Oryzias latipes: one gene and its partner. The protein of the gene in region 1 purifies or fractionates together with the protein of each later gene. This does not show direct contact. Links are inferred from orthologs where the notes say so. Each region holds a gene or a part of one and is shown on either strand. Other genes may lie near its edges.

Region 1 (5,944 bases):
TGTTGTCTTTCTATCAGCTGGAACCGGTCTGACCATTCTCCTCTGACATCAACAAGGTATTTCTGCCCACAGAACAGCAGCTCACTGGATATTTCCTCTTTTCCTGACCATACTCTGTAAACTCTAGAGATGGTTGTGGGTGAAAATCCCAGTAGATCAGCAGTTTCTGAAATCCTCAGACCAACCCGTCTGACACCAACAACCATGCCACGTTCAGAGTCACTGCAATCACCTTTCTGCCTCATTCTGATGCTCGTTTTGAACTGCAGCAGACCGTCTTGACCATGTCTACATGCCTAAATGCTTTGACTTGCTGCCATGTGATTGGCTGGTTAGAAGTTAGCATTGAGAAGCAGTTGGACAGGTGTTCCTAGTAAAATGGCCAGGGAGTGTATGATTGGCTGTGTTTTACCATTACTGATCCCTCAATGACACTGATATTGAATAAGAAAAATCAATACATTAGGAACTTAAAAGTGAATGAACTGCATCCTGACTTGAAAGCGTTAGGAAAACACATCCACCTGTTGCCATTCGCTGCTCTTCTCCAGGATGCAGGGGGTGTCATAAATAGCCCTGTAGTGTTTGCATATGGACAGGTAGGAGTCTTCATGCTGATCCACTTGAATCATCAGGTTGTAGTACTTCAGCTTCAGCTCCTGAGAGATCAGAAGGGAAATAATGGAAGGGTTTGGTTTTTATCTTTGTTCATTAGAGAGGCTTTTTGAAAGCAAACCATTGAAACACAACAGAACAATGTCAGATATTTCAGCTTCTCACCTCAGTGCCCTCATCTTGAAAGAATTTGGTGTTTATCTTCTTGCTGATGATCTGGGTGCGAACGTAATCCTTGACAGCAATGCAGAGCCTCATCTGTTCCAGGATGAATTCGGCTTTCTCCTTTTTTTCCATGGAGCCGTACGTTTCAACCTGACCAGGGAAGCAAAAGAAGAAGGATTTCTACACAGAAACACACATCTTAAGACAAGTTTCATTTAAAAAAAAACAACCCCTGTTAAGTCTATTTCGCACCAGTATAATAAATAAGCCATATTTGCGCCACATAGCTATTTCGTAACACTTTTGTTCAAACAGAGAGGTAATAAGTTATCTCAGCTTCTCACCTGCAGCTCCTGAAGAATAGCAGCAGCCTCTTTGACATCCCCATTCTGCTCCTTGATGTTTGCCAGAGTCTTTGTTAGTCTGGCACGCTCAATCTCCACATAGATCTGCAGGGTTCACAAAAAGACGCAGTTAATGAAGTATTCGTGTCTCTCTATACAGCAAGATGGTGACCCTTAGCTCCATCACTCTTTTCTTTCTACACACAACGTGTGAGGGAACTACTGCTGCGTCCCTGAGACCGCCCAATGAAAGGACGGAAGCCAAACCTTGCCAGCAGTGACGGTGCGCAGTGTGTCGATAAGCCTCAGCTTGATGGTCAGGTCACTCATTGCGTCCACATATTTGTAGCATTCCTGCACCATTTTGGCAACAGCCTGAGAGAAAGAGCACAGCAGAATAATGCTCAGAGGTTCCAGTAACAAGCACAACACCACCAGAAAAACTCAAACCAAATAAACCATTTGGGCAACATTTTACCGCAGAGTTTTAGGGCCACCAAAAAAAAAAAAAAAAAAAGGAAATTTCCAAGATTTAAAGTCGCATATTTACAAGAAAAAAACCCTGTAAACTACGAGACTAAAGTGAGCGTACAGAGCAGCAAGTGAACGTTGTGCAGCAGCAGAGCAGACCGACTAAACTTAGTCTAACAGTTAAACAGAATGTTAATTGATAAAGTTTCAAATGTTTGGAAGCTCATTTGTTTGATCGACAATTTATTGATGTTTTATTTAATTACGGGTGGCTTTCAGGATCTCTGCAGTCTGTTGATGAAGACATCGGTGTCCCTGCAGATGTCCACTTCAATCCTTTCTTCCTCCACCAAACCCAACATCTCTACGTCTGTGTGACGCTTCCGTCTGAGGAGCAGCACTTTTTGGCATTTTCAACGTTCTAATGCTAATATAACAGACTATTTTCATTCCTCTTTATTGTTTCATGATGAAACAGGACTTTTCATCTGCAGGGGGGGGGCGTATGAAACACCGTTTCCTTCCACTTTGGTGTTTTTTCTACACATGACAGATTCATGACGTAAGGTGACAAATGGACTTCTGGGTATTTGAATGAAAAGGGAGAATGAAGTTGCGATCCTCTGCACCCAAACATGTCTCTGAGTTCCATATTTTACATATAAAACTCCGCTTTACCGACACTGAACCCCGGAAAGCTGGCTACACTAACAAGAATTTGGTTTTGAGTCGCCAAAAGGCTCATAATTTCTTTGTTATTTGAAACCTATCCGTAAATAAAGCTTCACAAAAATGCTCCACATCTTTCATCTTCAAGCGAGGCTCCGATAAACAGACAACGTTGGGGTGTTTCCTCGTTAATTTATGAAATTTTTCTGGTAAACTAACAACTTTATTCTTGTAATTTAACAGTTATGACTACCGGTATTTTTCTTATAAATATACGACTTAAAAGCGTAATTTAAAAATAAAAACTGTAAACTGCCCCTAAAACTCTGTTGTAACAAATGTTTGTAAAAAAAATTAAAAAATGTGTTTTTATTTCTGAGTCATCACAGACACTGACCTGTTTGAGCTGACTCCTCCTTTTGGACAGCAGCATGATGTTTTCATTTAGCGCATCCCAGTCCTTTGCTTCATAACACAACTGGACCACAGCAACAAGGATCCTGGATGTGGATATCATATCTGACGCCTGCAAGAACCACACAGACTTACAGTATTTATATTAAAAAAAAAGTTTGTTTGTTTTTTAAACCACACACCCAAACCACAGCACATTCTTTGTTTCATTGACGTTTAATGGTTTATAATTTTCCTTCCATCTTACTGCACGCAAAGTGAATAAGCCTAAAACATTTCAGAATTAAATGTTATATGTGTCAGTTCCTGCAGTCCTTAATGCAAACTGTTTGTCCTTTGTGCATAAATTGTGTTGTATAAACAATCTGTACAAAATAGTTGTTCCTTTACATTAAACTCAAACTCTTAATCTTATTAAACGCACAGCTAAGCCTCACTGCAATATTACTTTTTTTTTTTTTTTTTTTTTTTTTTTTTAATGTTAAACAATTAATTTATTAATTTATTATAACTTTTTTTTTTTTTTTTTTTTTTTTTTCTTCAAGTTTCTTTTTATTTGAGTATTCAGCAACATATACAGTGTAAAAGACATTCAAACTTTTTTTTTTTTTTTTTCCCTTAATACCCCAAACAAACAAACAAACCCCCCCTGTTGCACCCTAAAGAAAAATAATTAAATACAATAAAAAAAGATTTTGCTGAATGGAGTAACAGTGTTACCCCTCAGAAAGAAGCGATGGATCAATATCTTTGATCTTGCTCAGAACTGGCTGCCAGACATTAAAAAACCCTGCAGTACAACCCTTCATTGAATATCTGATTTTTTCTACGGTAAGATGGCACATAAGATCCACAAGATATTTCCTAAAAGTAGGGGGTTGTTTGTTTTTCCAGTGTAGGAGGATTAGCCTCCTGGCCAGAAGTGTAGTGAAAGCGATCACACTTTTGGATTTACTTGGAAGCCGCAGAGAGAACTCTGATACACCAAAAATTGCAATTGAGGCCTCAGGAGCCATGTGTGTCCCCAATGCGTCAGAGAGAAGTTGAAAGATGTTGTGCCAGAAGGCCCTTAGTGTCGGACAAAACCAAAACATATGCGAAAGTGTACCTGGTACCCTATCACAACGATCACAATTAGCATTAAGGTCTGGTTTGATTTTAGCTAACTTTACTTTGGACCAATGCAGTCTGTGAACCACCTTGAATTGTATAACCCTTTGTCTTAAGCATATAGAGGATGAATAAATATTCTGAAGAGCAGTCTGCCATACATCCTCTGATAGGTCCGTAGCCAAATCTTCTTCCCACTTTCTTTTGGTATGAGTCAGTGGATCTGTGTTTGATGAGTTGATTGCAGTGTATATTTTGCTGATGAGTCCTTTTGACTGTGGATTAAAGGTCAAGATGTTTTCAAGAAGTGAGTCTGGTGGTCGCGAAGGGAAATGGGTGAATGTGGTAGATAGAAAACTTCGAAGTTGAAGGTATCTGAAGAAGTGAACATCAGGAATTTTAAATTCATTTTTTAGTCTCTGAAATGAAACAAATTGACCTTCGATGAACAGATCCTTCAGGGTTCTCAGACCATTTGTGGACCAATATGTAAAAGAGTTATCAGTTATGGAAGGGAGAAACATAATATTTTTCACAACTGGGGCATAGATTGACATATTTTTAAGGTGCAGGCTTCTCCTAAATTGTGCCCAGATTTTAAGTGCATGTTTAACTACTGGGTTCTGTGAAATTTTGTCGAGGGATTGTGACAGTGGTATTGTTGAACAAAGTAGAGAGTGTAAAGAGGCAGATTGACATGACATTCGTTCAAAATTTAACCATTTAAGATCCTTATGACTTGATGTCTCTAGCCAATAAAGTAATGTACGGATATTTGCTGCCCAGTAATAGTATTGGAAATTGGGAAGTGACATTCCCCCATAATCTTTGTGGTATTGTAAAATATTTTTGCGAATGCGGGCAGTCTTCCCATTCCATATAAATGATGAAATCAGTTTGTCTAGGTTAGAAAAGAATGTTTTTGTTAAAAATAAAGGTATAGACTGAAAAAGATATAGAAACTTAGGTAGGATGTTCATTTTAACAACATTAATTCTGCCTCCTAAATAAATTGGTAAGGATTGCCAGCGTTGCAGATCTTGTTTTACACTATCTAACAATGGAATAAAGTTTGTTTTGTACATATGTTTATAATTGCTTGTGATCCAAATCCCTAGATACTTGAATTTATGCTGGCTTAATTTAAATGGTATGGAATTTGACACATCTTTTAGTGCAACAGGATTTATGGGCATCAGTTCACTTTTGTGCATATTTATTTTATAACCTGATATTTTTCCAAACTCACGCAAAAGTGTGAATAAATGAGGAAGGCTGTATAGGGGATCAGATATATATAGTAATGTGTCATCCGCGTACAGAGATACTTTGTGTTCAGAATCCCCTCTCTGAATACCTTTAATAGAATCATCACCTCGAAGAGTAATTGCTAGAGGTTCAATGACCAAAGCGAATAATAAAGGTGATAAGGGACATCCTTGCCTTGTTCCACGTCCCAGCTTAAAAAAAGGTGAAAGATTATTATTGGTACGAATTGCTGCGACTGGGGAAGAGTAGAGAATACGTATCCATGAGATAAACCTTGGGCCAAAGCCAAATTTTTTAAGTGTATAAAAAAGGTAGTCCCACTCCACACGGTCGAACGCTTTCTCAGCATCAAGCGAGAGAACTATTTCAGATGTATCTGGTGGAGAGGGATGATGAAGAATATTTAAGAGTCTTCGAACATTATGAAAAGAATGACGATCTTTGATAAACCCTGTTTGATCATCAGATACGATAGAGGGCAAAACAGTTTCCAAGCGATGTGCTAGTATCTTAGCAAAGATTTTACTATCTACATTTAATAACGAGATAGGCCGGTAAGAACTGCACTCTAAGTGACTTTTACCTTTTTTATGTATCAAAGAGATAACAGCCTGTCTCATAGTCTCTGGGAGAGAACCTGAGAGGGAGGAGTCATCATAGACTGAGAGTAATATAGGGGACAAATCTTTTGCAAAGGTTTTGAAAAATTCACTTGGGAAGCCATCTGGTCCTGGTGATTTCCCACTTTGCATAGAATTTATGGCCTTCTGAATATCTTCTGTTTTAAAAGGTCTCTCCAGATTTTGAGATACTTCCTCATCTACTCTAGGCAGATTAAGCTTGCTAAAAAACTTGTCAAAAAGTACTTGATCCTTTTTAGATTCTGA
Region 2 (5,723 bases), on another chromosome or scaffold:
CGCGGCGCCTCCGCTCCCCGTCTCTCTGTGACTCCGCCTCCTTGTGGTCGGCCTGGAGCGCCAGGTCCTCCTCCACCTTTGACACCAGGGACGAGGCGGCGTTCAGGGACGGCCTGGCGGCTCTGGACGCCAGCATCGCCAGCCTGCAGAGAACCTTCCAGCTGGATCTGAGGAGATGTTGAGGAACCGTGGCGGTCCAGATCTTCTGTAACGTGTAACTTCTGATTTGAAATAAAGCTTTATTTGACTGTCAATCAATCTGTGGGTTCTGTGTGTATGTGTCTGTGTTGTATGTTTAATAGTGTGTCTGTTGGGGGTGTGGGGGTGTATTTGTGTGTGTGCTGGTATGTGTTTTTGTTGGTGTTTGTCTGGTAGTGTGTGTATTGGTGTATGTGTGTCTGCTGGGGTGTTGTGGTTGTGTTTATGTGTGTATTGGTGTTATGGTTGGTTTAAGTGTATTATAGTGTGTGTGTGTGTACTTAACTGATTGTTTTTTTCTTCCAAGTAGCGCATAGTTTGTTGTTGTTTGTCAAATCTTCAAGGTTAAACAACGACAGCAGTCGGTGACAAAATAGGAGCTTTTTTTGGAAAATTTCTGATTAAAAAAAAACACGCTTTATGAAACCGATGTTTGCCAACGGACAATTAATAACTATTGTCAAATATATTTGAACAAGCCAGAGGGTTTCTCTTCTCACAGTTTGCATGGATGGTGAATAAACGTGGAAAAAATGAGAAAAGTTGTGGTCTTTACGTGAAATTTTCATAAATGTATCACGAATGAACCAGGTTAAAACCGCGGAAGAAGTACGAATAAACCAACAAAGAACTCGTAAACCAACAAAGAACATGAACCAAACATGATTATTGTCTGTTAATATACAATTCATTAGTAATTTGTGCGTCAACTACGTATTTGAACGTGATATGTGTGCTGTATTCACGTAAAGACTCATCGGTTGAAACCTTCAGTGGACATCTGCAAATGTTGATGAATGACAAAAATGATCACGCTTAAATCACGAAAGACCAAACTTTTATACGTGGAAAATGCGCAAAATGCCCGTAGTGGCTGTGTGACTCTGCTTTTATACAGAACCAAAACGCCTCCATCACTGGCTGACAGTTCTGGCTGCAGCCTGTAGAGGGCGCCTGAAAGCAGACTTCTGTGGTTCTGGTCTTTGAGGTTTTGGCTTCCAGATCTAGGGTCTCAGACTTTGACAACTGTTTATATCTATATCTATATCTATATCTATATCTATATCTATCTATATATCTATATCTATATCTATATATATATATATATATATATATATATATATATATATATATATATATATATATATATATATATATATATATATATATATAGATATAGATATATATAGATATAGATATAGATATATATAGATATATATATATTTTTTTTTAATTAAATTTTTTTTAAATGAATTTATATTAATGTTCAAAAAGGCTCAATTTAAGACCTTAACACGATGAGGATTTGGAAGAATTGAATTAAATTAATTTTAAGAAAAATAAACAGATTACATTAAATTGGTTAGAAATACATAATTAATTTGGATTCATTTCATTTTAATGAGATGAACTCTTCATTTCTTGCTGTCCTGTTCGAGTCCCGTTCCCGCTCAGTAACGATCCAGGCCGGCACGCGCTCAGGCAGCGGCGCGGAGCATTGTGGGACGCTGGCTGACGGCAGAGTCAACATGGCTGCAGCTCTCCGGAGGAGGATCGAACCTGCAGGAAGAAGGCCGTGAATCGAGCTCGGTTGTGGACCCGCTTGGACCGCCTCCGCGTTGCTCTGAAACCTCCGTGCTGTTGAGGGCGCTCACCGACCGCAGAGGACCGAGCGAAGCCACCCGCAGCCGCAGAGGAACCGCCGGGGAGAAAGCCTCGTATGAATCCCGACGAGAAGGAGGACTGTGAGTGTGCGGCACCACAGGCCCAGACCAGCCCGGCGAGCGGAGCTGACAGGTGGGCACGCGGGCAGGAAAGAGTCGGGGATTGCCGGGCATGTCGGGAGCTTAGCTAGCTCCCCGCTGTTAGCCGCGCGGGAGCTCCGCGTTTTCGCTGAATCTGTTTAGACAACACTTCGAGCAGCTTTGAATTTATTTTAATTCAATCACGAAACGTTTAATACGACGTTTTTAAAGTAGGAAGCGCGTGAAATGAAACTAAAAAACGGCCGGCGGGCCTGCTAATGTTTGCTACAGCATTAGCCTGCTCAGTCACGCCAGGCAGAAACCTGCAGTCTGCGACGTTTTCCGCTGAAAGTCCCTCCAAGACTGGATTGGTTCCAGCCTCAAACAGGGACCCGGTCTTTGTGCGGGGGGTTCTCCACCTGCTGCACCCTGACTCCGTGGAGCTAACAACACGCTTCCTGCTGCTGTTTGCAGCCCGCAGACTGCGTCCTCTAAAGGGGAACATCTCTACCAACGCACGGGCTGTTGTCATGTCACACTGGGAGGCTTGCTGTGGTCCTCCTGTCAGTCTGGGAGCAGGTCTGCAGAGCCAGAACCACATCCCATCATCTCCATCTGGATCCCCCCCGCAGAAACATCAGGCTGGAACTTTTGTCCAAGCCTCCAGGAATGTGGGAAAGACCCTCATGGCTCCACCTGCACATCCTTCAGTGCCTGGCTTCTTGTTAACGAAGCCACAAATCGGTGGACGTTTTTAGGGTTTTTGTCAGTGGGGTGCATGTAAACGCCGCGGTCCAAACCCGTTTCATATGTGTGATCTGTTCTTTCTTGTTCCTTCAGAGAACACGAGGAGCCTGACGTAGAAAACCCAGAAGCAAGCCGAATGTAAGTCCCCAACGAGCGCCCAGAGCCGTCTGGATGTCCGTTCTGTGTCCGTCTGTTCCTGTGGTTCCCCACGTCTGTGTGCGTTCATCAAAGGGCTGTTTGCTTTCACGACTAACACTTCGGATTTATTACGTTTTTACTAGAAAGAATTGAGCCGTTGCTTTTTGAAGACGCTGATAGCGTCAGGAATTCTGTATTGTACCCGAGATGTGCTAGGGGCCGCTCTGTTATGCGTCCTGCTGTGGACGCTGAAACGTTCTCTGAAGTTCAGACGCCGTTTTTGAGGCATTTTGGGCGTCCGGGGTTCAGGGGCGGGCGATCGCTCAGAACATCTTTGGACGACATCTTTGGACGTCTTTGATTCCATGTTGGGCCTCAAAAGCTGCAGTAGAACCAGAAACTGCTGTAGTTTTCCCACTTATCGATGTTTCTAACAGGAGCTTTTACTTTCGATACTGAAAATTTCCTCTAGTGCTGATTATTGTGTTCTTTAAACAGAAATCTGCTTGTCTGATATTTCTTACTTCTGCATTTCCTGTCCTAGAATAACCAACAGTTATGTCAAACTTAGAATGCTGTTCTGGTTCCGTTTAGAGGAGCTTAAACATAAACCAGGTTCTGTCCCTTCGTGGTCCTATAGAAGTGTAGTACGATTGGGTGTAAATGAATCGGTCAGGGGTCACCAGAACCGTTACTGAACGCCCAACGTTTTGGTAGAAAGATCTGTTGTTATAAAAACTGTCCAAAAATGGAACCAACAACTCTCCAATCAGCTTTCTTTAGCTTAAGAACGCAGGAGTTTTGAACACGGAAGCCCAAAATGCCCATAGACTTCTTGGAAGTGGTCGGTAGGAGTGTTTCAGAGCCTGGAGTGAACGTAAACAGATTTATTTTTAATGTGTACAAATGAGGCAGAAAAACTATCGGTTTTGGTGTCCAGGCGAAGCATCCGGTTTATAATAAGAACATGTGCTGAGGTACACGCGTGCACGAAGCGTGTCTCGATCCACCGACATTTGTGTGGAGCGTTTCATAACGTCTGGACCAGGACGTGGTCAAACGTCTTCAGCGTGTTGGAGGTCCCTCGCGGTCTTGATGCTTTGCTGATTTTTGTTTTTGTTTTCAGCGTGCTTCTAAAATATTTATGAGTTCAGTGCATTGTGTTCTGCTTCCTGATTGGCTGTTGACCTCGTCAATAAATCTGGCCTGTGCTGTGTCTCCTGAACAGAATGTGTTCAGATCTACTTAACCTCTGGAGACCCTGTGTCCTCACACAATGACATGGTTTTTGTACTTCCTGTACTAACGATAACGGTTATTGGGTCCTACTTATCTCACATAGCATTGTGTCCATTATTCATTCACTAGGAGCTCGCCGCTCCATGGCCTGAAGACGCGGCCGATGTCTCCTTTGATAGAAGACGAGCGCCACGGCAGAATGTGAATGTATCTGCTGTCAATCAAAGTATTGTTCACATCCGAAATCTCTGATTTTTTCCTCTGAACGCAGGAAGCGAGCAGCCGCCAAACATCTAATAGAGCGCTATTACCACCAGTTAACGGAAGGCTGTGGGAATGAGTGCTGCTCCAACCCCTGGTGTGCCTCCTCGGTGGGATTCACGCGCATGGACAACAACGCGGCGGCGGTCAAGGCGCTGGAGCTCTACAAGGTCAACGCCAAGCTCTGTGACCCGCACCCTTCCAAGAAAGGCACCGCCTCCACCTACCTGGAGAGCAGCACGCACAGCAACTCTGCCTCCAGCGACCAGCAGGTGAACCACAAGGAGGCGCACACGCTACGGGAAAATTTTAAAGGTGAGCTTGAGCCCAAAGTTCCGGTTTCGTGTTCCGACCGGTGAAGTCTTGTCGGGAAGGCTGTTCTACCGGTTTCACCCGCTCTGTTTTTCGCGTAGATGTATCTTACCTGACGGAGGAGAAGGTGTACGAGATCTTGGGCATGTGCGGGGAGAAGGAGGATTACTCCCCGCTGATCCGAGTAATCGGCCGGGTCTTCTCCAGCGCCGAGGGGCTGGTGCAGAGCTTCCGGCGGTCCAAACCCCACACCAAGGAGGAGCTGAAGTCCCTCCAGGGCAAGGACGAGGACAAGGACGAGGACGAGAAGGAGGCAGCGGCGTGCTCCGCTACGGCCATGGAGGAGGACTCCCCGTCCTCGTCGACGCGGCCGGGCGAGGGTTCCTCGGGAGACAACGACGTCCAGAAGCTGGCGCCGGACGAGGTCTCGGTGGACATTGAAGCCGTGCGGCGCGTCTACGAGCGCCTCCTGTCCAACGAGAAGATAGAGGCCGCCTTCCTGAACGCACTGGTTTACCTCTCCCCCAACGTGGAGTGCGACCTGACGTACCACAACGTGTACTCACGGGACCCGAACTATCTGAATCTGTTTGTTATAGTGATGGAGAACAGCAACCTCCACAGTCCAGAGTACCTGGAGATCGCGCTGCCTCAGTTCTGTAAGGCCATGAGCAAACTGCCACTGGCCGCTCAGGCCAAGCTGGCCCGCCTCTGGTCGCACTACAGCGCCGAGCAGATCCGCCGCATGATGGAGACCTTCCAGCAGCTCATCACCTACAAGGTGATCAGCAACGAGTTCAACAGCCGGAACCTGGTGAACGACGACGACGCGGTTGTGGCGTCCACCAAGTGCTTGAAGATAGTTTACTATGCAAACGTGCTGGGAGGCGACCTGGACGTGGAGCACAACGAGGACGAGGACGACGAGCCCATCCCGGAGTCCAGCGAGCTCACGCTGCAGGAGCTGCTGGGCGAGGAGCGCCGCAACAAGAAGGGTCCCCGGGTGGACCCTCTGGAGACGGAGCTGGGGGTCCGCACCAACGACTGCCGGCGGCCGCTCATCCCCTTCGAGGAGTTCATCAA

What was found.
Region 2: the proteins of psmd12 (region 1) and ubiquitin-protein ligase E3A purify together in Homo sapiens (affinity purification with mass spectrometry; 4 studies listed by BioGRID and IntAct, with this or other methods). This does not show direct contact. The link is inferred for Oryzias latipes from reciprocal best matches to the Homo sapiens genes PSMD12 and UBE3A.

Annotation. Positions count from the first base shown.
Region 1 is NC_019859.2:31,314,389-31,320,332, forward strand, and holds part of psmd12 (26S proteasome non-ATPase regulatory subunit 12), read right to left. Parts: intron 2,791-5,944; coding exon 2,662-2,790; intron 1,500-2,661; coding exon 1,392-1,499; intron 1,230-1,391; coding exon 1,125-1,229; intron 931-1,124; coding exon 781-930; intron 660-780; coding exon 525-659; intron 1-524.
Region 2 is NC_019860.2:926,297-932,019, reverse strand, and holds the start of ubiquitin-protein ligase E3A, read left to right. Parts: upstream 1-1,643; 5' UTR 1,644-1,918; coding exon 1,919-1,995; intron 1,996-2,783; coding exon 2,784-2,828; intron 2,829-4,338; coding exon 4,339-4,643; intron 4,644-4,741; coding exon 4,742-5,723. Other genes in the region: RNA polymerase II degradation factor 1, read left to right, coding at 1-182. UniProt on the Homo sapiens protein: E3 ubiquitin-protein ligase which accepts ubiquitin from an E2 ubiquitin-conjugating enzyme in the form of a thioester and transfers it to its substrates.